Danio rerio: one gene and its partners. The protein of the gene in region 4 purifies or fractionates together with the protein of the main gene of each other region. This does not show direct contact. Links are inferred from orthologs where the notes say so. Each region holds a gene or a part of one and is shown on either strand. Other genes may lie near its edges.

The links.
Region 1: the proteins of hnrnpua (region 4) and dimt1l purify together in Homo sapiens (affinity purification with mass spectrometry; 3 studies listed by BioGRID and IntAct, with this or other methods). This does not show direct contact. The link is inferred for Danio rerio from reciprocal best matches to the Homo sapiens genes HNRNPU and DIMT1.
Region 2: the proteins of hnrnpua (region 4) and sf3a1 purify together in Homo sapiens (affinity purification with mass spectrometry; 3 studies listed by BioGRID and IntAct, with this or other methods). This does not show direct contact. The link is inferred for Danio rerio from reciprocal best matches to the Homo sapiens genes HNRNPU and SF3A1.
Region 3: the proteins of hnrnpua (region 4) and hnrnpa0b purify together in Homo sapiens (affinity purification with mass spectrometry; 3 studies listed by BioGRID and IntAct, with this or other methods). This does not show direct contact. The link is inferred for Danio rerio from reciprocal best matches to the Homo sapiens genes HNRNPU and HNRNPA0.
Region 5: the proteins of hnrnpua (region 4) and hnrnpd purify together in Homo sapiens (affinity purification with mass spectrometry; 4 studies listed by BioGRID and IntAct, with this or other methods). This does not show direct contact. The link is inferred for Danio rerio from reciprocal best matches to the Homo sapiens genes HNRNPU and HNRNPD.
Region 6: the proteins of hnrnpua (region 4) and prmt1 purify together in Homo sapiens (affinity purification with mass spectrometry; 4 studies listed by BioGRID and IntAct, with this or other methods). This does not show direct contact. The link is inferred for Danio rerio from reciprocal best matches to the Homo sapiens genes HNRNPU and PRMT1.
Region 7: the proteins of hnrnpua (region 4) and prpf8 fractionate together in Homo sapiens (co-fractionation; 3 studies listed by BioGRID, with this or other methods). This does not show direct contact. The link is inferred for Danio rerio from reciprocal best matches to the Homo sapiens genes HNRNPU and PRPF8.

The regions. Positions count from the first base shown.
Region 1 is NC_133183.1:19,048,824-19,051,792, reverse strand, and holds the end of dimt1l (dimethyladenosine transferase), read right to left. Parts: intron 1,987-2,969; coding exon 1,880-1,986; intron 1,791-1,879; coding exon 1,748-1,790; 3' UTR 501-1,747; downstream 1-500. UniProt on the Homo sapiens protein: Specifically dimethylates two adjacent adenosines in the loop of a conserved hairpin near the 3'-end of 18S rRNA in the 40S particle.
Region 2 is NC_133183.1:43,426,844-43,430,343, reverse strand, and holds part of sf3a1 (splicing factor 3A subunit 1), read right to left. Parts: intron 3,370-3,500; coding exon 3,295-3,369; intron 2,599-3,294; coding exon 2,448-2,598; intron 2,148-2,447; coding exon 1,951-2,147; intron 1,822-1,950; coding exon 1,704-1,821; intron 448-1,703; coding exon 140-447; intron 1-139. UniProt on the Homo sapiens protein: Component of the 17S U2 SnRNP complex of the spliceosome, a large ribonucleoprotein complex that removes introns from transcribed pre-mRNAs.
Region 3 is NC_133189.1:43,441,385-43,445,518, reverse strand, and holds the start of hnrnpa0b (heterogeneous nuclear ribonucleoprotein A0b), read right to left. Parts: upstream 2,801-4,134; 5' UTR 2,770-2,800; coding exon 1,825-2,769; 3' UTR 1,689-1,824; exon of another isoform or gene 1,115-1,688; intron 881-1,114; exon of another isoform or gene 544-880; 3' UTR 1-543. UniProt on the Homo sapiens protein: mRNA-binding component of ribonucleosomes. Specifically binds AU-rich element (ARE)-containing mRNAs. Involved in post-transcriptional regulation of cytokines mRNAs.
Region 4 is NC_133192.1:12,686,454-12,689,953, forward strand, and holds part of hnrnpua (heterogeneous nuclear ribonucleoprotein U), read right to left. Parts: intron 2,210-3,500; coding exon 2,136-2,209; intron 1,980-2,135; coding exon 1,840-1,979; intron 234-1,839; coding exon 134-233; intron 49-133; coding exon 1-48. UniProt on the Homo sapiens protein: DNA- and RNA-binding protein involved in several cellular processes such as nuclear chromatin organization, telomere-length regulation, transcription, mRNA alternative splicing and stability, Xist-mediated transcriptional silencing and mitotic cell progression.
Region 5 is NC_133185.1:5,488,728-5,492,950, forward strand, and holds the start of hnrnpd (heterogeneous nuclear ribonucleoprotein D0), read right to left. Parts: upstream 2,801-4,223; 5' UTR 2,610-2,800; coding exon 2,449-2,609; intron 1-2,448. UniProt on the Homo sapiens protein: Binds with high affinity to RNA molecules that contain AU-rich elements (AREs) found within the 3'-UTR of many proto-oncogenes and cytokine mRNAs.
Region 6 is NC_133178.1:31,168,095-31,171,783, reverse strand, and holds the end of prmt1 (protein arginine N-methyltransferase 1), read left to right. Parts: coding exon 1-18; intron 19-1,930; coding exon 1,931-2,014; 3' UTR 2,015-3,189; downstream 3,190-3,689. UniProt on the Homo sapiens protein: Arginine methyltransferase that methylates (mono and asymmetric dimethylation) the guanidino nitrogens of arginyl residues present in proteins such as ESR1, histone H2, H3 and H4, FMR1, ILF3, HNRNPA1, HNRNPD, NFATC2IP, SUPT5H, TAF15, EWS, HABP4, SERBP1, RBM15, FOXO1, CHTOP, MAP3K5/ASK1, MICU1 and NPRL2.
Region 7 is NC_133190.1:30,762,322-30,765,821, forward strand, and holds part of prpf8 (pre-mRNA-processing-splicing factor 8), read right to left. Parts: intron 3,280-3,500; coding exon 3,160-3,279; intron 3,061-3,159; coding exon 2,751-3,060; intron 2,670-2,750; coding exon 2,535-2,669; intron 2,426-2,534; coding exon 2,296-2,425; intron 2,220-2,295; coding exon 2,023-2,219; intron 1,948-2,022; coding exon 1,741-1,947; intron 1,656-1,740; coding exon 1,492-1,655; intron 1,386-1,491; coding exon 1,259-1,385; intron 1,154-1,258; coding exon 961-1,153; intron 778-960; coding exon 590-777; intron 473-589; coding exon 234-472; intron 142-233; coding exon 1-141. UniProt on the Homo sapiens protein: Plays a role in pre-mRNA splicing as core component of precatalytic, catalytic and postcatalytic spliceosomal complexes, both of the predominant U2-type spliceosome and the minor U12-type spliceosome.

The DNA of each region.
Region 1 (2,969 bases), on a different chromosome or scaffold from region 4:
ATATATTTAAAATAATAATAAAAATGATAATAATAATAATAATAATAATAATAATAATAATAATAATAATAATAATAATAATAATAATAATAATGATAATAATAATAATAATAATAATAATAATAATAATAATAATAACAATAATCAAATTTATATCTTCAACCTTTCTATCACATCAAAAGATGAAAATCTGAGGGGGAATTTTGGGGGAATGTACGTTCATTTATAGAGGCCCCTACAGTTAAAAAATATCAACCTGGAAAAAGCTGTTTTTTTATTGTCTTAATCCACATTGTAACTACAGAAGAGTCAAGCTTAAAGAGGAAAATTATCTTTTTTTTTTTTTTAGCAAGAAGCTAATGATCTATCTAGATTTAGTGATTTATGCTAAGCTAAGATAAAAGTGCACCCGCCAGACCTGGAGATTAACTGAATGGATTTAAAAATGGTTAAACTCAATTGTTAAACTCTAGGCTATTTGTGAAAGGAGTCAAAAACGATTCCAAAAAAAGGTTGTTTTACTTTCGGAGCATGAAAACAATTCAAAGTGAATCAAATTAGAAGCACTAGACACAAGTCGTACACAAATGAACAAAGCAGTTTTCTTCTTTCTTTAAAAGCCAAAAGACTTGTATTCAGAAGTTTGGAGAACATGTTCTTGATTGTATTTTTTACACTCTAAATAATAAGTTAACAAAACATTTACTTTAAGATTTATTGACCTTGTACAACTAAACCCTTTTAAAGAAACATGCCTTAAACAAATTAGAGAATAGGTCAATAGTTTGCAATCATATTTACAGTATACAAAGTACAGTTTCAATAACTGTACGAAAATGCAAATAAAATGTATGTTTTAAATACTTACACATTTAATATTCAAAGTATGTTATTTTTTCTAGATTCACTAATACATGTTTGACACTCCAAGTTCTATAAATGAACTGAAGCTTTGCTATCAATCCATTTATATCCACCCAGGCAAAAATGCTGCAAAATGTTCGGCTCATTGTTTGTATTTAAAGAGATAGTACACCCACAAAAGAAAATTGTCATCATTTAATCATACTTCACCAGTTTCAAACCTTTAGTTATGAGTTACTTTCTTCTGTTAAACACAATGAAGATATTTTGAAGAAAGCTGAAAACCTGTAACTGTTGACTTCTATAGCAGAGAAAACAATTACTATATAAGGTTTTCAGCTTTCTTCAAAATATCTATTTTATGTTCAACAGAGGCAGGAACTCAAACATTTTAGAAAGACTTAAGGGTGAGTAAATAGTAGTTAATATTATTATTTTTGATCAATCAAATGATCCATTTGTTCATGGCAATTCTTTACATTAACTAATGCAATTAAAACTGCACCTTACCGTAAAGTGTTAACAGCAATCATTTCTCACCTTGACAGTTCAGTAATGAGAAGTAAACACACGATGATGTTCAGTGCTGAGACTGACGGTAATGAAAAACTTGTCTTATCCGTTAAGACAATCTTATAGAGTAAAAGCTCTTACCACACACTCGTACATCTAAAGTATTACCTCTCAAAAGAAGTCCATAATTCTTTCCCCAATACAGGAAAGGCACAAAACATCCCAGCCTGAGTGATTAAGTGTTCCATTGCTTGTCCATTGAAAAGAAATGTCAATCATTTCTTCGCATGTACGAAAGCATCAACCAGAATACGAGAAGACCGTGACATCACTTCTGTAAAGCTAGTAGCCGTTCCCCGTTCCTTAAATTTTAAGAGAAGTGTATCCCAGCAGAGTTGAACGCATGAAGAAGCCTAGCGTAAAATATGGATGCAGAAAAAAATGCTTTACAAAACACCCCCAAAACACAAAATGTACATGAAGTGAAGCGGGTTATACTTACACCATGAAATCATCTATATCCATGGAACGTGCCCTCTTATCACTGAACTTGGACTCTTGAAGGATGCTTTCAATTTTCGGAGCAATGTTGAAATCCTCAGGGATTTCCTGCAATTCAATTTGGAAATATTTAAATATACTTGCATCTACAGATAAGTGCAGTGAAAAAGTGCAGTTTACATCTGATAGCACAAGCTGATGAAGCTAAATACAGGTGTGAAGGGGGTCTAAAGAGTTGAGCTTTCCAGATTTAGAGATGTTTGAAAATGATTTTGATTAGACTTCTTTTGTAGCATAAATAGCTATAAAAGACACCCCCACTCCACCAACTGACCCAACAATGATCAAGCTTGTATATACTAGTGGTGTTACGGATTACAAATCTCACGGTTCGGATCACGTTATTGTTTTTTTTTTGTCACGCATCGGACCATTTTTCGGATCAGTCAAAAAGGGAGAAGACATGTCATTTGCTTTTTATTTATTACAAAAACAGTACTGCAAGACACTTTTGGTTTAACAAACAGAACTTAGAACCTGTAATTTTATTAAAAAGAAAAAAAAAATCAACTAAATAAAAATAAACTGTAAAATATTCAGAACTGTGAAAAATTCACTGTTACTACCGTTGCTGATAACACTAAATGTAGAAATCTAGCATTATAATTTGTACAACCTAAATTTATTTTTAGTTTCATTTTCAATAAATGATTCAGTTATTCACTCATAAAGCTTCATTGCTAGATATGGCATCCTAAATAACCTTCCACAACTTCCTCAATCATCATTATATCTACTATTATATACAATCTTAAAGCTTTCATACATGTGATTTGCATGACACGAGAGGCACTCACTCTGTAAATGGGTAACACATTACAATAAGGTTCATTAGTTAATGCATTTACTAACATGAACAACACTTGTACAGCATTTATTAATCATAATTGAACGTTTACTAATGCATTATTAACATTCAAGTCCATGCTTGTTAACATTAGTTAATGCACCATGAGTTAACATGAACTAACAATGAACAACTGTATTTTCATTAAATAACGTTTAATAGCATAAATAAATACTGTAGTAAA
Region 2 (3,500 bases), on a different chromosome or scaffold from region 4:
ATGTTAATCATTTTATATCTAATTTGCCCAAAAAACACAAGTATAACTCAAAAAATATGTTTTGTGTGTGTGTTTTTTTTAGCTATGAGCACAGTTTTGGTTCTGTGGACTTATTGAGGTATCTTAAAACTCTTCTCACCTTCTCCTCTGGTTTCTGTATCTCCTCTTCTCCAATCTTCTTACCGATGGCCGTTTCTTCCACACCGAAGATATCAGTACGTCTCTCGGCCAGCTGCTTCAGGCTGCTCTCGATGTCCAGGCCGGGAGCGTACACCTCCTCCTCAATCTGCCGCTCTCGGATGCTGCGGTCACGCTGCTCCAGCCAGCGGGGGTCCAGCAGGCCAATGCGCATGTGCTCCTGCATCTTACTGGCAGGGATCTTCTCACCCGTGATGGGGGAGATGAGGTACTCGTCTGGTGTGGCCACCGGAGCAAGAGGCTTAGAAGCTGAGGGGAAAATAGACAAAGTCACTTAGTTAGTTATATGTTTACTTTAATGCTATCTCAGCATCCAAGTCTTTTTTCATGGGATAACCTAATTTTAAATGACATAAAAAAAATACAAAAATTAATAAATAAATACAAAATAGAAATCAAAGCATATTTTTCAATTTTACATAATACAGGGTTCCTACATCTTCTATAAATTCAAATGTAAGCACTTTAAGTACTTCCCAGAAGCATTTTTATACTTTTACAGCACTTTACAAGATGCTATTTTTTATAGTATTCTATAGTTCAATTTATTTCATGTTTATGCGTATATAACTTATCTCATTAATTATTATTTCAAAGCAGTTTTGAAAAAGGTGCACATTATTGCATTACAATCAAAATCAGAAAACTTTATTAGGTTAAACAGTTATTAGTAACTATAAATACATACAGTACAGTAAAGTATTCTAAAACAACATTTTTTACAATGTTTACCCCAAGCCCCAATGATTTACTGGCATTTTCCCCTTTAAAAGTAATTCACATCCATCTTGATGCGTCATCTTTAATCTTTTATCCTAATAAATGAGTATTTATTTTAAATTATATGCATGTTCCACCATGAAGTGGCAATCTCCATGGAGTTAGCTTTAATTTTATGAAAAAGCTAAAATATATATTTAATTTTAATTAAATAGTTAATTACCCCCTATTTGGTAAATTCAATTATTATGAAAGCAGAACAATTCTATTTTTGTCTTTTTTATAATTATTTTCAGGGGTTTTTAACCTTTGATTGATAGGACAGTGGAAAATATTTACAGGAAATTGTGTGAAGCAGAGAGAAAATGGAAGGATCGGTAAAGGACCTTGAGCCGGGAATTGAGCTCAGGTCATCGTAAGCACTTTGTTGCTATATGTCGACACACTTAACCACTAGGCTAATGGCGCAGACAACAACAATTCTTTTGTTCTTTGTTTTCTTATACTTGTTTATTTTATTTTTGTTTATGTAAAGCACTTTCAATTACCATTGTCTATGAAATGTGCTATATAAATAAACTTTCCTTGTAATGCCTTTTCAAGCAGTTTAAAGCGCTTTATTTAAAAATCAAAGCACTTTTCAAACTTAAACACTAGATTAAAATTCAAGCGTTTTCAAGAATTAACTGATAATAAACCAATAATAAAACAATTTTCTGAATGAATGAAGCAAATGATATATGTCCTTTTTGTATGCTTTTTAATAAATGTAGTGGGAATCTCACCCTTGGGGTCGTAGTCTTTGCGAATGATAACCTGGTCTGGGGTGGGGGGCAGAGGCGGTGGCAGGGGGTTATCAGGGGGCAGAGGAGCTTTCATGCCATCATCATCCTCATCAGAGCCCTATTGAGAAACAAAGAACAAGTGCTAGTCAGTCAGAAAAATGTAGATCCTACTTCCACAAACTGCTCATCTATGCTGATGCATAAACATGATACATGGAATGAGCCCTTGTGCAGCCTTGTGTCTCACCTCATCCATGTCCTGCAGCTGTGTGTCCTGGTCAGGCTGAGCTGCATGTCCATCTTCTCTGCCCTCCCTCTCATCATCTTCATCTTCACTCTCCACCTCCATCTCTACCTCCTCACTCTCTCCAAACTTCTCATAGCGCTCCTGGATGAGGATACGAGCACCCAGCTCCTCAGGAGTTGTTGGAGGAGGGAAATTACCTGTAAATGTATAAGAGTAATAATTAATAATTTGCACTGTACATATAAAAGTAGTATTTAGGCAAGACAAAAACACTATTAAACACATTAATGATATATTATTGCTGAAACTAAAATCATAAAAATAGCATTAACAAAATTACTAATATTTTAATCAATATACTAACCTATTAATACAATTATTGACAGTAATATTAATAAAAAAAATCTAATAACAAAATGTACAAATTGAGAGCTTTCTTCTGGTGCAATTGAATGTTTGTGCGAACCCCTTAAATATCCTGTGTTACACATGCTTACCTTGCTCATTAGGCTGAAAGTCAACTGTCTCCACCACAACAAAGTCATGCCAGTCAATCTGAGCATATGCCACTCTCTCCTTCTCTCGCTCCTCCTCTTCCTTCTTCCTCTCTCGTTCCTGGAATTTGGCCCATTCCACACGATACCTCACCTACAACACAAGGGAACAATGAGATATTATACTAATAAGGTCAATCTCATCACTACACATACAGGGATATTTTTGTGATTTTCATAATCAAAAGACTTCCTAAAACATATCAATCATATTTAGTATTTAAGTTCTGCTGTCTGATTGACCTTCAGTTTTGCTACAAGATTTTCCTGTTGCTATAACAGCAGAGCATGCTGTTCAATATCATGAGTTTTTTCCTCAGGAAAAGCAAGATCTGATCAAATGTAAATGGCTTTGGTAAAATGTGTCTTCTAAAACGTTTTATCTAAAGGTTAGTTCACCCAGATTTTTAAAAATCTATTATTAATTGCTTATGCTCATGTTGTTCCAATCCTCAGAAACCTTTTTTGTTCTTTAGAACATAAAGAGTTGATATTTAAAGATTTTATCTCATCATAAATGTAAGATTTAGATATTGTCATGTATAGGCAGCAATACTCGTGAGACATTAAAAGTTCAAAAAAAAAGAATCAAAGACATTGTTAAAAAAATCCATGAAACTTCACTGGTTAAACTGCAATCATTCAAAGCTCAAAGAGTATGTTTAGGGCACAAAAAAACTCTAAATATGATTTTGTCTACCAATATCTTATGTTTTTTTTTTTTTTTTTCATTCACACCCCGTGTGACCTGAAATTTTAAATTTTGGTGTTCATTTCTATATTTGATTACCTGGTCCAAGACCTCTCGAGGATTCTCTGCTTCTTTCTTCAGTTTCAGCAGAAGACCTTTTGGAGGAATCAAAACCTGCAAAAAGCCAATCAAACAAGTTATTTAATGTCACACTTGAATAACCTGTATTTGTAACCTGTATTTTGCATTTGGGGGTTTCACATTTGCAATTGATTTTCAGGGAAAAAGTATTTGTTTGTGTGATA
Region 3 (4,134 bases), on a different chromosome or scaffold from region 4:
ATTTTGATTAAATTATATATAAAGTGTGGAGATCAGCCACCACTTTTTATTATTGCTTATAATTTAAAAAGGTTGGATTTTCAGAAGCTTTATAAGTAATGTTTAAAGATGCCTTTTGCAGTCCACATCTTCTGATCTTCTTTGTATTAGTAGCAATGCACAAATACTCAATACTTGTATGGCTTTATTTAACTTTAAGAGCTGTTTGCATATTTTATACAACCCAGATTTAAATTAGAGATGCTTCAAATGATCCTATTGGACCTCATCCCCGAACAAACACAAATCCATCCATTAATCCTCAATCTCCTACAAACCTACATAATCTCCACAGATTTACTCACAGGGGAAAGTCATTCCAGTACATATCAAAATACACCACACATGATTTTATAAACCTTTTTTATTAAAAACACATTTTTAGTAAAAATATACACATTTTCACAGAAAACAGTTTATTACTGCTTCATCAGTCTATTGTGGATCATGTAGAAAACTCCATGGCCACAGTTGATGTGGGCATAGTCCTGCATTCAAGGTCACCTGGGGGAAAAGACATGAAGAAAAGAAACATGTTAGTCATGCAAGATAAACACAAGGATTTAATATCAAGTTAAGAAAAAATCCTTTAAGTCAAGATCCTAATAAGCCGCGGTGTTACACAAACCCAAATTCCATCGCACCAGTTCATGTCCACTTGACTTATAGATGGTGACTAATAATGATAATTAAAAAATATTTAGGAATAAATATAATAAAATGGTAATACTTGACCAACACGTAGTGAAGACAGGTTGATTACATACCTAGATCGCAGGATGATATCCTAATGAGATATTTCAGTCCTATCACAATCGAACCCAGGTACTGAACAGGTTCCCTGTACAAACAAACTGCTACAGCTATTTTGAAGTAGTGGAATAACTGAAAGAACACCTAAATATGGGAATCAAGAGTAAATATAAAAGCCATAAACACTAGAATAATAATTAGTATATCACTGAATGTGATGCAGACTTAATTTAATGTCATAATAATCATATGCATATGCTTTGACTATTAGAGGTGTAGTGGAAACCCATTAATTAAAGTCTATAGGATAATAAAAAGATAATTAAGCTGTGAAACTTTTATTTAAAAAGTAACATACAATTGCATATCAATGTTTAACAATACTGGATTGATCTGAAGACATAATATACAATACACAAGAGAATGTTGGAAGTATGATGCTTACACAACGTTGAACTGAACTCAGATGAGTGCGTTTCTCTTCTAGTTTACTAAATAAAACAAAAATCACGTAAGCCTAATCTATCCCCATCATGATAAACTAGTTAGGAAAAAAAATCTCGTGGTGGGTTTTACAAAGACGAACACAAACTCAAAACTGCATGCGTTAATCCCCCCCATGACACTGCTAGGCAACAGTTTATATAGAAAACAAGTCTATTGAGTATGCATTTAGACAACAAATCGCCAGTGTTGAACAAAATTTAAAAACGAATCGGCTGCGAACAAATCGTTTCTTTAAAAAGAAAGAAAAGCGGGGCCATCTTGCTGCATGCCCTAAAATTGGGAAATAAATGACATATAGAGATATATAGAATAATAATAATAATAGAACATGTCCTACAACTAAAGCTGGTCGAGCAAGTCAGGTTTCTGGGAAGAGATCTTCTTCCTACCTGTTAAGAATTGAGGTCTTTTAGGTATGCTTTCACAGTGTCCGCCATCTCTTGCATGGCCGGGTGAATGAGCCCAATGTGGAAACCGAGAGAACCTGGGGGAGGGGAGCAGCTGCAGAGTCTTTCCCAACCTGCTTTAGTAGCCTCCATAACCACCCCTGCCGTAACCAGGCCCACCGCCACCACCACGGGGGTAGGGGGCTCCGCTCCTGCCGCCGTATGTGTTTCCACCTTTCATGGGACCGTAGCCGGACGACTGCTGGCCGTATCCGCTGCCAAAGTCACTGTAACCGTTTCCACCGCCATAGCCCCCCATCTGCTCACCGTAGCCTCCTCCGTATCCACCTCCGTAACCGCCACCGTAGCCTCCACTTCCATAACTACCGCCGTAGCCGCCATCGTTTCCGCCGTATCCTCCGCCATAGCCGCCCCCGTAGCCGCCGTAGCCTCCTCCTCTACCGCCGCCGAAGCCATTTTGATTGCGGCCCATGCCTCTTCCTCCGCCTCTCCCTCTGCCGCCGCGGGCTCCACCGGCAGCCTGGATCTCTTGTTTCGTGAGCGCTTTCTTCACCTCCACCTTGTGTCCGTTGATCATGTGGAACTTGAGCACGACGGCTTTGTCTGCAGAGTCGTTGTCTTCGAAGTGGACAAAGCCGAAACCACGCTTCTTGCCGGTGTCTTTGTCGGTGATGACTTCGGATTTCTCGATCATGCCGAACTGCGAGAAAAATTCGGTGAGGTCTTTTTCTTCGATGTCATCTTTTAGGCCACCGACGAATATTTTCTTGACTTTGGCGAGAGCTTCGGGCCTTCCGGCGTCTTCTCGAGCCACGGCTCTCTTCACCTCCACGTTTTTACCGTCTACAACATGTGGCCTGGCGGCCATTGCTGCATCAGCCTCCTCCGAGGTGGAGTACGTAACGAAGCCGAAACAACGGGATCGTTGAAGCTGATCGTTCTGGACCACCACGCAGTCCGTCAGGTTCCCAAACTGCTCAAAATAAGAGCGGAGACCATCATTAGTCGTTTGGACGTTTAGACCGCCAACGAAGAGTTTGCACAGCTTCTCCATTTCAGACATTTGTTTGCCGTTGGTGACCGCCGTAAGACTCGACTGCTGCTAAGAAAGAGCCTTTTTTAAAATGACTGTCGTCATGACGCAATGTTCTCTCTCGCCGTAAGACACACCCCATTCACAGGAAAAAAGGCGGGATTTGAGGAATGGTGCTAAAATTCCACTGATAGAAATTTCTAGTTTACAAATGACTACACTAAAACAAGTCATGCATTGAAGTAAACATGACAATTTGACGTAGAAACACTGAAATAAAATATTTGCTTATGAAACATAATGCAATATTTACCGTTTATTTATTAAAATAATAATAATGTTCCAAGTTCCAAGGCCATTTTCTAACACTTTTTATAAAAATGGTAAGCCGAATATACTAAATATAAATAATGTTCCAGCTTGTATAATTCCGGATGTATAATTATTTAAAAATACATAATGTTTAGTACATATTTAATTACAATAATACATGCAATGCAATTTTAAAAACTTGAAAATGAAATTTTGCTTGACCGTGTGTAGTTTATGTCTGTAAGATTAATTAATTTATTTATTTGAGAAAATGCATGTCTTAAACACTATTTCTCTACAACTGCTTTTCTCTGTTCAACTGCAAACTCAACAAATCTATAGATCCACATTCAGAAACACTCTGAGATTGTGAAGTGAGGCAATAACTAATGAAATGCAATAGACAAGTTGGAGCAGGCAAGGCGGGAAAAAAATTCAAGGCTTGGTTTATTTTTTAATAATGTGAAGAAAAAAAATCATCAGTCCTGATTACATAAACAGTATGTTGCGGTTTGAAATGACATGATGAACATTATCATTTTCGGATCTTACAAAGTACAATCTAACCGTTTTTTTTTTTTTTTTTGCTAATTTTGACCTACTGTAGTGGTTGAGCATTTGGACATGTAGAATTTTTAACTATTACTACTTTCAAAATTTCTTTCTTCAAAAACATTGATCTCCACACTGTAAAAAATATATGATCAAGAGTCGTGACAGCAAATGTTTTCAGTTCATTGTGACTTATTAAACTAAGTTAATCATATACTAACCTAAATTACGAGTTTAGAAAGCTGTTTCAAGTCAGTTTAACATAAAATAAGTTCAATGGACTCAAGTTAAATTGATTCAGCTTAAAAATTTAAGGCCACCAGAATATTTTTTACAGTTTATTATTTGACATAAAATTCACAGGCCCACCCGTAACCTGGTGAAAAGGGTGAAAACTTCCTTTTTTCTTAGGAAGTGGACCTTTTTGCAGTTATCTGCCTCATTTTCTATTTAATTATGAGATATAAAAACTGCATTTAAGTGATATTTTAAGCACTAATTTTAGCTGGATTAGCTTGCCGAATGGTCATC
Region 4 (3,500 bases):
TGGTTTTCTTGGCCGTCATTGAAAAGGCATACGAGTAAGCTTCCTCTCCTGTCAGCATAAAGAATGCACTTTGAATTTAGGTGTTCGCCTCTAAAAAATTCATTTTCGAACTAAATATAAAGACCCTCCTTACCCAGCAGATAAGAGCTGTTGGCCAATGACCAGCCCACCAGGACATCGTGATCTTCAATTCCTTTACTGGAGATGTGCTTAACAGGGATCTTCTCGATAACCTGCTCACAGTGGAAGTACTTGTATGTTTATTTCCATTTTAGCCATTACAGTGCTCAGCATATTTAAGTACACTCCATTTTGAAGATGAATATTTGTATCCATTTCTCAGTGAATATAGGCGATGTATTTTGGTGCATTTTAACAAAACAGATTTATTAAACCGATATATTTATTAGAATTATATTTTAGTCACCAAACATATTCAGAAATTGAAAGACAATGCAATTAAATAAAAAAATTACAACCTCTAACATTTCAACTAAATAGTTTTTTTTTTTTTTTGCTTTTCTTGATTTTTCCTCTTTTTAAAATTTGTTTTTATTATTTTTCTATAACAAGTAAATTTGTCTGTACTAGTTTGACCGTTATCGAAAGTTATTTTGTTAGATAAGCTCCAGATTTGCCTTTAACACTGACTAATCTAATGTGTATGCACAAATATAATATTGTATAGCTTCCTATAAAAAATATGAATTTAAAAGAGAGATTTGTGAGGGGTGTACTTATATATGCTGAGCACTGTACATAGCAGATAAATCTGATTGTTTCCCATTCATAACATTTTATAACAATCTCAAATATAAATGCAAAAAATAAAAACAAACATTTTTAGCTAAATCAACCGGATAATTTGATCAAGACGTGTAATTTTTTTTTCTGGATTAACAGAGAATCATTATTTATTATTATTATTTTTTATTTAAAGAGATCTCAATGGGGTATATGCCGAAGCATGCTAATAGGACTTTTAATTTGCCAGTAACCTGGGTTAAGCGCTTCCGGCGAATTGAATGCCAATGCAAAATCCGGTGCGTTTAAGGTCTGTTTTCTTTAAAAATGATATCCGATTTAAAGTGGGTCTCAGATTGTACAAGCAGCACCGCATTAAATTACATTTCCCCTGCCATATCTTTATAATATGAGCATTTATTTTACCCCAGTGTATTCAATGGAGCTTCTGCGTTAGCGTGCCGATTCTGACAGGCGCGTGCGAGTAAACAGCTTTTTGTCTCATTTAACGCTTGAGCAACTAAATAAATGCTAAAGTTCGTTTAACTGAATATATTTTAATGACATTACAACATCGATGCTGTATAAGGAACCGTATAAAAGGGAAAAAAAGTTCACAATAACAGGTCACCAGAAGTGTATCAACATGGGAACAGCACTAGCTCGGCATATACCATATTGATAGTTTTAACATGATGTTACACCATTAGGGGAATGGCTGCTAGTGGGCAAACATTAATATGTTCTGCTGACAACCAAGGCCCAATCCCTATTGTATTATTTTACACCTACCCCTTGGCCCTTGAAACAGAGTGTGAAGGTAAAGGATTTCAAAATCTTTCCCTAAAAAAATGGGACAGCACTACAGCACCTGCACACGACATCATATGATGTTGCAAGCTCTTCATATAAGATCAATGACAGCAACTGCTGTAATTATTCCACATGCATTGTTTTTTGTATTTATCTTTAGGCAATCACCAAAGGCAGCACTATACATATATCTCAAAACAAACTTTTATTTTGGATGCAATTAATCTTTGCACAGCATTAGAGAAAATTGTACATATTTTGCCTTTAAGAGCGAACTCTCACCTTCATCTCAAAGCAAGCCTTGCCCTTGTCCACTCCATAAGACCCTCGTCCTCCTGCCCACAGGTAGGCAAAGCTCTCCATCGTAAGAGACGAGGCGCTGTAGCGATCACGAGACACCTTGAAGTGCAGGTCACAGTTGTCTGAAGAGAAAAGACGAGACTGTATTTATTACAAGCTACAGACTGACTGCACATTCAGCAGAAACGATGTTGTGACCTGCAGGCTTTACCATATCACCAGTATTTTGCATCAAAAACATATTGCGAGTTGTTTTTAAGTAAGATCTTCATACTCACAGGTGTCCAAACACACGGTTGTGTCATCAAACTCTTCATCTTCTTCCTCCAGAGGGGGCTGAGGAGACTTTGCCCTGAGAGAAAGGAAAATAATTTAGCTGATTTACTATTTTGTAATCAAGTGAAATACACTTAGCCTTCAGATGCAAAAGTCTGTCAGATTTTTTGCATCTGAAGTCCATTTATTTGTGTGTGTGTGTGTGTGTGTGTGTGTGTGTGTGTGTGTGCGCGCGCGCATCACAGCCATTTTTTTTTATTATTGTAATTTTTTTTTTATAAAGGCATTTTAAAGATAATTTTCTCTGGATTTCTCAAAAATTGTCAAAGGGTTTTTACTTATCAGAAGTTAAAACATTGATATTGTGTTGGTATTTTTAAAAATTGTATTATATATTAAAATAAAATATTTAAAAATATATAAAATCTATAAACAATAAATAATAATAAAAAAAATATAATATATTTAAGTGAATAATAAGTTTTTAAAATATATATTAGGGCTGCACAATATTGGGAAAAATATTTAGTTTAGTTTTCCTGCAATACTGTATACATTGTAATATGAAAATCTTTTTCTAAAATGACTATATGAAAAATAAATAAATAAATAAAAAAATAGAGTACAAAATAGTCAAAGTATAAAAAGCAGAAATGAATGAATAGATTTTCCCTATACACAAATATTAATCTTATCCAAAAAACAATAATAAAAATTATATATATATATATATATATATATATATATATATATATATATATATATATATATATATATATATATATATATATATAAAGCAGACACTTAGTTAAACAAAATAACAGTGTCAACAATGACTAAACTACTGAGAAATATCCACAAGATAAATGTGAACATCACATAATTGGAGATCTGACTGGGACATGAGGGTTTTAAATGACTGAAAAACAGCTGCGGGTGCAGTTAATGGTTTTTGGTTGGACAGTTTAACAGTATTGAAGTTAAAAAATTTAATGATCAAAAGTAAATTAAGACTGCACAGTTTTTATTCTACTGTATTAAGTAATTAAACACAATTCATCTCCATTAAAGCGACAAACTTGTGCCTAAATGCTTCAAATTCTCCTGAAATCTTAGTCACATTCCTTTAAAACAAAGACAGAAAATAATAAAAGTCTTTTGCAACGACTTCACAAATCGCATGATACGAGACGTGTTTTCTGGTTACTTATAATCCCAATATGACATTGCGGATCCTGTGATGTGACTATTGCAGATTCGCACATCGCAATGTTGATGTTGAAACAATATATTGTGCAGCATTAATATACATATTTAAATATAACCATTTTGATTTCATCATTGTTTAACATTTACATTTTAAGAGT
Region 5 (4,223 bases), on a different chromosome or scaffold from region 4:
AGTCAATGGTTACAGGTTTCCAACATTCTTCAAAACATCTTTTGTGTTCAACAGAAGATAAAAACTCAAAGGTTTGGATTTGGAATCTCTTGAGGCTTGAGAAAATAGTGAGAACGTTTTAATTTTGAGGTAAACTTATCTCTTTAGAGTGATTTCTATCTGATTTTAATCAGATTTCAACTCGGGAGGGATAAACTTAACACACCAAAGTAGAGTAAATAGGTTACTTCATTTCATTTATTCTAAAAATGCCTGAGAACATGATATGGATTAGCATGTTTGTCAGACAGCAAATACTGGGTTGTAATTATATGTAATGTGATGTGCAGCACTGTGACTTTTAACATAAGCAGCTCATGATAACAGTGTTTTTAGACTCAGTGCACCTCGGTTCACTGTAAATAAATCCTGCTCTTCTGAATGCCGTCTTCGCGAATGCTGCATTTGAGTCTGAGTCGCTTATAGACCATTTCAATGTGGTCATGTCATTGGCCCATGAACATTTCCTGCATGTTATCAAACTATTTCATAACTGTAACAAGAGGCAATTCAATCGTAACTTGATAAAATAGCTGTCATAACATCATTTATCAATATGTGGCTCTTTTTGGATTCTCGAAAGCTACAGAAATAAAAAATGTAAAACAGGAAATACATTGGGACTATTGTTTTTGTTTACGTCCCATAAAATGGTCTATGATGTGCATTTGAAAATGTAACTGTGATGGAGTATCTTTCCAGGCTAGTCAAGAGAATCTGTTGATTAACAGAAGCATTTCATTATTTTCTTACAAAAATTAAAACAACCATAAATATTAGATTTAATTTTCATTTTAAAAATAAATTAGCATTGCAGATTAGCAGCAAAATAATTGATGTTTATTAACTTTCCATATTGACTATTACACGTGTATACCTGTAGTTATGACCAGTCTTTATAGGAAATAATAATTATATAAACAATGACTACCTTGTATGACTAGTCTAAGTAGTTTCTGCAACCGACCATAGATGATTATATTTCAGTCTTGTTTTGTCATAAAGTAATTCATTTATGCATACTAGACAAAAAAACACCATTCAGTTCTAAATCCGAGTTTCTCAAAATATGCTTTTGTCAAATTGACATTTGACAAAGCTGCATTTGAAAGGCAAATGTATTTGGAAAATGAGTCAACTTGCAGCTGTCCATTAAAGCGACAGTTCACCCAAAACAGAACATTCTGTCATCATTCACTCATCCTCCACTTGAACAAACCTCAATGAGTTTTTTTTTTCTGTAAAAACACAAAAAGGATATTCTGAACATTTTTGGAAATCATTGACTTCCACAGTATATGTTTCCTGCTATGGAAGTCAATGGCTACAGCTTGGCAACATTTTTCAAAATATCTTTTTCTGTGTTCAACTGAAAAAGGTTTGAAACCATTTGAGTGTCTTTCATTTTAGGGTGAACTATCAAACGAATATTAGGGAACACTTTACAGTGAGACGGGCAATACATCTGTTAAAGTATTTATTATTCTTTCATCAATTTACTAAATAAAAATTTAACTGATCATTGTTAATGCATGTAAATGACACAATATTACAGGGTTTCTGCCGCTTTCAACAAGTTAAATTTAAGATTTTTTAAGAAGATTATGAATGAAATTTTAGAAATATACAAGGCTAAATGCTAAGGATTTTTTTTCATTTGAATATTTTTACCTTTTGTCCACTGTATTTAAATTTAATAATACAATAATAATAATTTATTGATGAAAATATATAGGTCAGGTCAGTATCCTTGGCAGTAACTTTTAAACAAATGTTACTGTAAGTAATAATAACTTTATGGTATAAATGTTATTTTTAAAACGACTTTTATAGAGATTGGGAATGTATGGCTGTTAATGGCTAGATTTGGTCGCTACACATGAACAAGGGAAAATTAAGACCTGTTAAAAAGATTTAAGACCTACAACACGATGTTTCAGTATATTTAGACTTCTTAAAGCCTAAAATTTAGCTTTTGAGATTCAAGACAATTTTAGACACAGCAGATACCCTGTACTAGGATATGACTAGTAAGTTATATTTTAAACAAAAGATAGAAAACATTTTAATAAACCTTCATTTACATTAAAATCACCAAATGCTTTGAAAGCATTTCAATTGATAGTCCACATTAATTACTACAAACGTATGCAAAGCGATCAATCGATACTCCGACACACATATTCATGTTATTTACACAACCGGCCACTTTTGATAACGATATTAATATTGCATAATGACCACAAATATTAATGCAATGATTATAATACTTTAAATTAATATAAAACGATTCCTTGTTGATAATTACTCATCTAATCGACTACTATTGGGAAGCGATGTATGAACTCAAGGTTATTTTATTCTTCGGTTACAGTCTGTTCCCATGGTGCATCAGGAGCCGAAACTCACCCTTCGTCCTCCTCATTTTTACTGGCATCAATCTTGGAGCCCTCGGCTTCTCCCTGTCCTCCATTATCCCCCGACATCTGCTCTTCGCCGAAACCTTCTCCATCATCATTTTCCTCCATCTTCATCGTCGGGTCTTCGCCCAGAAACTGCTCCTCCGACATATTTGATCAACTATTGGCGAAAACACGCGCGGCTACAGTCGTTTCTACAGACGAAAACGTCTTAGGTCGTAACCGAAGCGAAATGCCTATAAATCGTGTTAATGCGGCTCAAATTCGCGTTTGTATTAGTCTGATTTCAGAATGTCGATGGCAACGGCGTCCATTCACAAAATGGCGGAGAACCGGAAGTTGAACGGGATGGCGTCACTAAGGTTACAAAATACGTCAACGTCGCTTCACGCTCATTGGCTGTAGGGCTGGAAATCTAGTTTGTTTATCTCAAACCTTTTAAATGCATAATATTGAATTATTATATGTACATTACATATTTTAAAAAAACTTAGTCATAAATGTTGTATAAAATAATCACACGACAAAGAAACATTGGTTTTCTCAGAATTTTTAATCCCTTTATCCAAAAACGTCAGGAAAAGAACTAAAAATACAAAATAAAGGACACTTTTCCTAATCAAGACTTAAGAACACATCAGCACAAAACCTACAGGTTCAATCTGAACAAAGCACAGAATAAGACAAACTTGGGAAACGAAACACCTCGCTATTTACAAGGTTAGACACTGGATTTGTCCCCAGAGGACCGAATAACGTTTTTAATAGTTGTTTAAGGACAGGATTCCACACAAGCTGCCTCCGAGGAGCAATGTCGAAGTCAACCTGCCCACCTACAAGAGAAGAGAGCAGAGATGAATCACCCGGTTTCCACACCTCGAGCAAAGCACGTCCATGTTTCAGTGTTTAACTTCTTGAGCTGTCGATTTTAAACTAGGAAAACCATCATTAAGGATTAAAGATCATATGTTAAACGTCTCCGACTGACAGAACAGCTCATAAGCCAGCAAAAGCCTCAGCTCCAAGCGGTTTGTGGACCAATCGAGGAGCGAGCCCAAACAGGTTAGCCTTTATCCTGTGTAAACGGTATGGTTATTAAAAACTTTAGCCAATCCTTGAACTGTTTTAAATCAGATTTCTCAGCTTTTAATGGCTTCGTAAAACTCACTTTACATATGATCTTTAAAGGCTATGCTTAAGAAAAAAGCACTGAGGTGTACCCATTTGAAGTTCTCTATGGCCTCTAAAGAAAAAGCAAGCATTATGAGAGAGTTTATGCAATTATTTACATGGGGAGGTAACCAAAAACCAAACATTACAAAGAAATAAATTAATAAATCAATCACTGAAGCTCCACAACTGAAATACAAGAGCACTACAATTGAAAAAAAGAGCATACAACAAAGCAGTTATCAATCACTTTTAGGTTACATTAACAAAGTCCTGGAAAAAAACATTTGGAACTGTTAACGAAAACCAACAACTTAATGAAATGGGGGAAAATCTCCTTTGTTTGTTTGTTTTACGCTGGTACAGGAAGTTGGAAGAGACCATACCACAGGACAGCGCTTTCTCGTGCATGCCGTGCTCTCTGCCCGCTATGTGCGACGCCCAGAGAATGACGTGGTCAGGTGACACACGGCCTGCAATGAAGTCCCCGCTGGCAGGTACAAACAAGGTACAATAATCAGAATTAGGGAAAGAAAGGAAAAATAAGGAGAGGCGCCTTTTACTCTGTACCCTTTTAGCCGTACATTACCTGTT
Region 6 (3,689 bases), on a different chromosome or scaffold from region 4:
CCCAACGTCAAGAATAATGTGAGCCTTGTGTGCACGTCTTACTTTTAGCACCTTTAGTGAAAGTGTAGGGATGGTCATATATATCTTGTTACCATTTTAATGGGTTGATTTCTGTATTAAATTGAACATTTTTCCAGTTTCTAATTTATGAAGTCTAAAAGCTCTTCATTTGGAAATTATATTGTAAAATTACAACTTAATCACTTCTAAACGTTTTCACTTTCTTTAATATTAATTAGGGGTGTTAACCTACACTGGTCTCACGGTTCGGTAACGATTATCATGCCATCGATTCAGTTTAATTCGATATCTCAGTGCAAAATGAGTTTTTTTTTTTTTCTCCCAACACTATTTTTTTTTTTATTAAAATCTGAAAATATATTAATATTTATATATTATTTGTAACACAATTTTGTCCTTTAATACAAGAAGTAAGATATATGAACTGTACCTTTAATTTGACCTGCTCAAAGAAAACACTCTTTTTCAAGGTATCAAACAAAACTCCCAATACATACACAGAAGACAACATGAGCATTTTTAGGCAATAAACTTATGGAAATATTATCCCACTTGCTTTGAGCGTTGTTGAGTGAGGTCTTGCCTCTATGACTGGTTATTGTCTTCACCCGTTTGACAGAAACAGCTGTGATTGGCTTTAGACATAAAAGTGCTGTTCACTGATGAGTGACACGGGAAGAACAGCCATGGTTACAGTCTATATGTGCATAATATGCAGTTATCAAAGGTAATCCACAGTGGAGAAAACTCGCACCACAGGGAGGTTCGTGTCTGGATCCACAAGTATCGCTTTACCAGCCAAGAGAAGGGGAAAAGTTAACTCATGAACAGGCCAGCGGGTCAAATATACAAAAGTGAGGGAGGGAGGGAGGGAGGGAGGGAGAGAGAGAGGCAGAGATGGCTTTTTACAGCATTTCTCCTTAGTAGTATAATAGCGGCTCATGTGCTGTGTCTTCTTCAGTCAGTCTCAATGAAAGCCTTTCCAGTAAACTCACAAGCAGTTGAACTGCAAAATTATCTACCTTTTCAGTAGTAGGAGCGTTTTATTTACTTGCCCTCTCCTACTTCGCCATAGTATTCTACTGCGACATCGTGCATAGGAGATAAATGACATCAGTATCCAATAGTTTTTTGACACCCCTAATATAATAATAACTTTAATATCGGCCAAATGTTATTTGCAGAAAAGTTAATATATTTAGACATGCATCTCTTGACTAGCCAATTTTTTTTGCAGGATCATGTACACTCTGCCTGCCTGCACTCCAGATTCAGTGCAGCCCTAACATTTTTAATAGTTCCTCCCCCAAAAATGTTTTGTTGCTGAAGTAAAATTTTCTGCTATACAAGTCATTAATGCTTTCAGAGAGAGGATTTTTTTAAATTATTATTTATTTTCCAAATTATCAGCATTTGCTTTTAAAATGTCTTAAAATATGTCATGTCTAAAAATAATAATATAATAGTACTAAAAAAAAAGCATGCATTAAAGCATATAATCCTTGGACTTCTGTAAAATAAGAAACTAGGCAAAAGTTAGTTACAGTGGAAAATTGCACATGTTGGTTTGGGTTAAACAGTAATGTAATTTAATAACGCAAATGAAAAATACATGGATTCTATACAGTTTGTATATTCTGATTTATATATTCAAATTAATTTGATATTCTATAGTAATGTTGGAAAATTCAGCAAAAAAACAGTATTATTGGCTAGTCACACTTACCCAAAAAAAGTCTAAATCAGCCACGAAAATTGCTATCGGTACATCTGTAAATTTTGTCTTCATTTTAAATGAAGCTTGTACTAGAAGTTGTCAATGTTGCTGCAACTCTATTGATTTTCAAAACTGTTCACACTCTTATAATTATTACAATTTAAACATGTACTTTTTTTCCTCCCCCTACAGAGAGACCTGGACTTTACTGTCGACATTGACTTCAAGGGTCAACTTTGTGAGGTGTCCAAGACATCAGAGTACAGAATGCGCTAGTTTCCATTAGCATCAGTGCACATGTGTGGAGCAAATCAAGAGAGCAGTGTATGCCTGTGTGTTAAACCATGACCCTTTGTTCCATGACTGCGCAGTTTTAGAGATCTTGTTTTGCAGAATGTTGTCTGACATGGAGGATTTAGAATTGTTTTGTAAGTGAACTCTTGATTTTGTGTAAAATGCGCACGAGAGGACTAAACATGGCAGATTTTACCGTGTTTTTTCCATCTTGTGTGTTAAACCTTTTTGGCCCTGCCTTTTTCAAAGTTTAGATGCACCATCTGGGAAAGGATTCCTTGAGTTCATACACACATGCACACACTTGCGCCTGCTCTTTGCCCTCTGTCTGCATCTGAGACATGTCATTCATGTATGTTTTTTTTTTTTCCCCTGCCATGCCAGCATGTCTTTGTTGGTGACAAAAAAATGCTAATCAGCCATATCTTTTGATAATCCATCTGGTAATGCCAGCATTTTTCATGTAGGTAAAACCTGTTGTCATGTTTGACTGTGGACTGAAACTCTGCCCTGTTACTTGCCGAATTATTGTTTTATTTTTTTTCTGTCTGTACTGGAAGGCAGTTGTCTTGGACCATCACTAGAGGGCGCCTCCATAACATGCCATTAGTCTGAGGAGTAACCATTTTAATTTCCATTGTGCTCCTATGTCCATGCTTTTTTTTTAAGTGCTTGTGGCAATGACCCAGTCAGAGGATAATATTGTGTCATTTGAGATGGTGCAATAATCTCCTGTACAACTCATAGATGGTGTTAATAAGCACTCTTGTAGATCTTTTGGTCTTTTTAAATCTCATGTAGGACAAATGTTCATCTGATGACTGTTTAGTTTAAGCTTATCTGCTGCTCTTTTGCACTGTAAGCACTTAACTAAGTTTCTCAGACCCAGAACTACAATATTATAATTCCACTGAAGGAAACCTTCAGCCTAAATTTTCCATAGAAATGCTTTTATTGAAAGATGATGCATTTCCTGTGTTTGGGTAACTTCACGTTTGTTGATCTTCTCTGTGTTGCTGTGTACTACAGTGTTTTTGTGGAGGGATGCAAGTTTGTGTCTGATGTCTAGCACTGGTGTGGATTGTTATCAGGCAGACATTTGTCTAGGAAGTGTATTATTTTCTTTTCTTTTTTTGAAATAAAAACATTAAACCTCATTCGTTGATTTCAGTGATTTGAAAAATGCAAAGTTGTTTTTTTTTTTCATTTCGAGTGTACAACTGATGATCAAAAAATTATAATCTTTAATGTTTGAAACGCTGCTTGTTAAATCGAAGGTGATGTTGCTGTAGATGTAACACGGGCAAATGATGAACTGCCCACCCACTATAACTGTCCTTTCAATGCATTTCGGAGCTTGATTAGATTTGCTGTTCTTTTGTTTAGTGCAAACTAGTAAGCATAGAATTTTAGTGTACTAGCCTCTGTGCTTGTGTTTTTTTCAGAGCCTTATGAGATTTACGTTCAAACTTTTTTTTTGTGCCTGTATGAACAACATTGGACATTTTAATTTTTTATTTATTTTGTGATGTGAAGTTGTGTGGTCTCAGATGAACACAATTCTTACTTTGAAATAAATAATGTAATGCTTAGCCTATAAAGACATGCGTTTGAAAAACATTTTTGCATTAAAGCTAATCTGTTATGTATTTTTTTT
Region 7 (3,500 bases), on a different chromosome or scaffold from region 4:
ACATCATGTTTCATCAGTCTCATCCTAGCATCTCGAGGCCAGCATTTCTTATTGTTGTACCCCACAATGTTCTCATTGTTGGGGTCCGGGTGCTCAGTCAGGTACCTCTGGATCAAATCTCTGGCCTCATCAGCAGAGAACCTACATAAAGCCAAACCAGTAGATTAGAAAATATAACTTCAAGAATTAAACTGGGCAAAGGAAGATATAACTTATTTATCTGCACTACTAACCTGAAGAAGATATGAATGCGGTCTATATATCTGCAGTACAGACGGATGGGATGCGCGCTCTCAGTGGCCGTATCCTGGAAGCTGAGGAAATCATTAGGCATCTGAGGAGGTCCTGCCATCTCACTGGCTCTGTGCAGACCCAGCACCAGCAGGTCCATCACAAGTCCATAGTACTGCACAATGAAAGAGGCAAACTGCAGGCCACGAATGATACCGTACGAGTTTGTATGGTTCATGTCCTGTCAAAAGAAAAAACAGACATCTAAATATCAAGCTATGCAATGAAAGTAAACCTCTTAAAAGTATAAAGAAAAAGGGGATTTTAGAAATGAACTATTCAGTGCAAATAAACAGACCTTATAGTTAATGACAACGTTGTTTTTAGCTGTCATGTAATCAGCAATGTTGTGATCAACAATGAGACGCAGAAGCCTGTTCAGCAGCGTCAGATCAATCTTCTCATACATCTTCTCGTAGCGAGACTCCAGCATAACATTACATTCACCCTCTGCTGTCTCCCATACATCCTGCAAGTTGTTGATTCCTGCAACCACAAAGATAAAATGTTAAATAGTGAAATTAAAGACAAAATATGGACTCGGATAATTACAGGCATCACGCAATAAGCTTTTGTCTTTGGCCAAAGAAAATGTTGATTTAAAATTATTCCAAAGTAAAAGAACAATTATAAATGGGTCAATCTAGAAACAATAAATTCCTTCTTCACCTTGGCACCATTTGTACACCAGCAGTGGTGGTGGCTCTGTGTCAGCTGGTTTGATCCAGGGTGGGAAAAGCCTACGTTTGTCTGCCTCGTACCACAGGTACTGATCCAGGTATGCGTCAGTGATCTTTTCCAAAGGTTCAACATCATAAACCGGCACCAAGTGACTGTAAAGGTCCATGAACTCAATGCCAACCTGGAGAAGAAATTAACTACTTTATATGAAAGCTAGGACCAGTAACAGGCCAAGAGGAATTCAGAGGTTATATAATGTCTGCTGAAATTGTGATTGCGTACAAACCTCTTTGAAGGCTCTCTGAGTGAGGAGGTGACGTTTGATTCTGGACAGAGCCTCATGAGGGTTGTCATAGGCCTGCTCAATCAGACCCAACTCCTCACGCTGTGACTGGTTCAGCCTAGACTTCACACTGTAATAAAAAAATAAAGAAAAAAATAAAGAATGTCAGAAAAGATGCAATCATCTAAACCAACCCAATAGCTTCGCTCAGGTTTGTTTTATGGAACTGGCCTGACCTGTAAGCTTCCTTGAGTCTCTCCAACGCCAGAATGAGCAGCTTGGTGTCATGCTTGTAGGAGAGAGGAGGGAAGGGAATCGGAGAGAACCGACGACTCTCCAGCCAGTGCACTGTGGTGGTGTAGATGGCCACGGCCTCCTCAGCTGTGATGTAAGGCCCATCCTATAAAACAAATTATTATTTATTCCATGTTCCTTTATGAAAACAGCAAACTGTTTAAAGCTTATAAGAACGCACAAAAATGTACCTTCAGGTAATTGTGCTGTCTCTCCTGCTCTGCTTTTAGGTAGAGTCGAGTGAGACGTCCCAAGTTCTTCTTGCACACAGTCTTATCCACAGTTGCTCCTCTTCTGATTCTCTCACGGTTGTAGTGAGCCGTGTTGGTCCACCAGTCAGCTTTAGCCTTCACGTAACGAAGAATCATGTTCTCGATGGGAGTTGGAAGCCCAGGAACCTGAAAAATTAAGTAACAGTCCCTAAATGATAAACTTTTAAATCTGAATAATATTTATAAGCAACAAAACTGTACCTTCCAAGGAATGTTGGCCTTCCAGCATCTCCATGACTCACTGAGGTGCTGCAAGATGGTTCTGGCCTTGTTTTGCTTGATACCCTCAGGCATCATATCCAGGATGTCATGCATCACAGCAGCTCTCAGCTCCAGATCAAAGTGAGATTCCACACGCTGTTTGGTCACAGTCTTGGCAACACCCTTAGAGTGTCGACCTAAACAGCAATACACATCAAATTAATCCAGAACACCACCTTTCAGCATCCTTTGTAAATACAAAGCTTATTTTACCCTCAAACTGCCTAGCCAGAAGATTGCCGAGCCACCGCTCCAAAAGAGGGGTAATGCCTCTCATGAAGAACAGCCAGACTCTCCATCCTGGTGCCCAGAACCCACAGCCTGGACCTTTTCCAACTGGGCCCTAAAAGATAGATGACTTTAGTTGCAAGGAATAGCATCAATCCAAACCATCCATCCATCACATGTGACAGAAACAATGTTTTTTGATAACCCCATTGAGTGCTACTTACTGTGTTGAAGCGATAGTAGATGAGATGCTTCAGGTCTTTGCACATTCTGATCTGCCTCATGAGCTTGTACTTGTAGCGGTACATGCCAGTCAGTTGACCCACATGGGCAAAGATGTACTGCAAGCCATCAGCAAGCTACAGGAAGGCAGACAAGTTTATTAGTGGTCACAAAACTAACAAGCTTCACAGAGTGCATAAAGGTTGTATTTGTTATACCTGGAAAGCATCAACATTTCCAAGCCTGTACTGTACATGACTGTCCACCACCAGCTTGCTCAAGCGCAGAACCTCACGGCACAAGTGAAACGCATTTCCGAATCTAGACTTCTTACGTTCCTTTGTTGTGAGGGTTTTTACAGGCTTCAAGTTGAAGTTGTAGTCCAAGTGCAGGTAGTTCAGGTTCTTTCTGTGAATCAGCAGGTTCAGCATGTTGTAGCCCTGCCGGCACACCTGGAGTCCGACTTCTACCCAGTCCAGCTTTGTTGACTGGAAGAATTTGGTGGCCTTGAAAGAGCGGAACAGGTATCTAAAGAAGAGAAAGGAAAATACAACCATTGTTATATGCATTACAACACACCTCTTTTTAAATTACACCTTGCTACAGGCTCTGGAATAGCAGACTCACCTCTTTTTCTGTGCCTTTGGTGGTCTGTGTTTTAGAGCATTCAACACATAGTACTTCAGAAGCTTCTGGTAAGACACACGCACCTTCACAGGCTGGCCTGCAGGACAGTGCTCACGATACCTGGTTGCAGAAGAGAGAGCCTATTTATAAAGTTGTAGTCTTCTTGCAGAGTTTCTTAATCCTCACGTAGTATGCGAGTCCAGAAGGACCGGCACAGAACACATTTGTGTTAAACATAAGAGACACTTTAAACGTTTTTAGAAAAACAGTGTGATCCCGCAAAAGATCATGAACACAAAAAAGATCCATGCTTGAACAAATGTGTTGTGTGTGAATGGTCT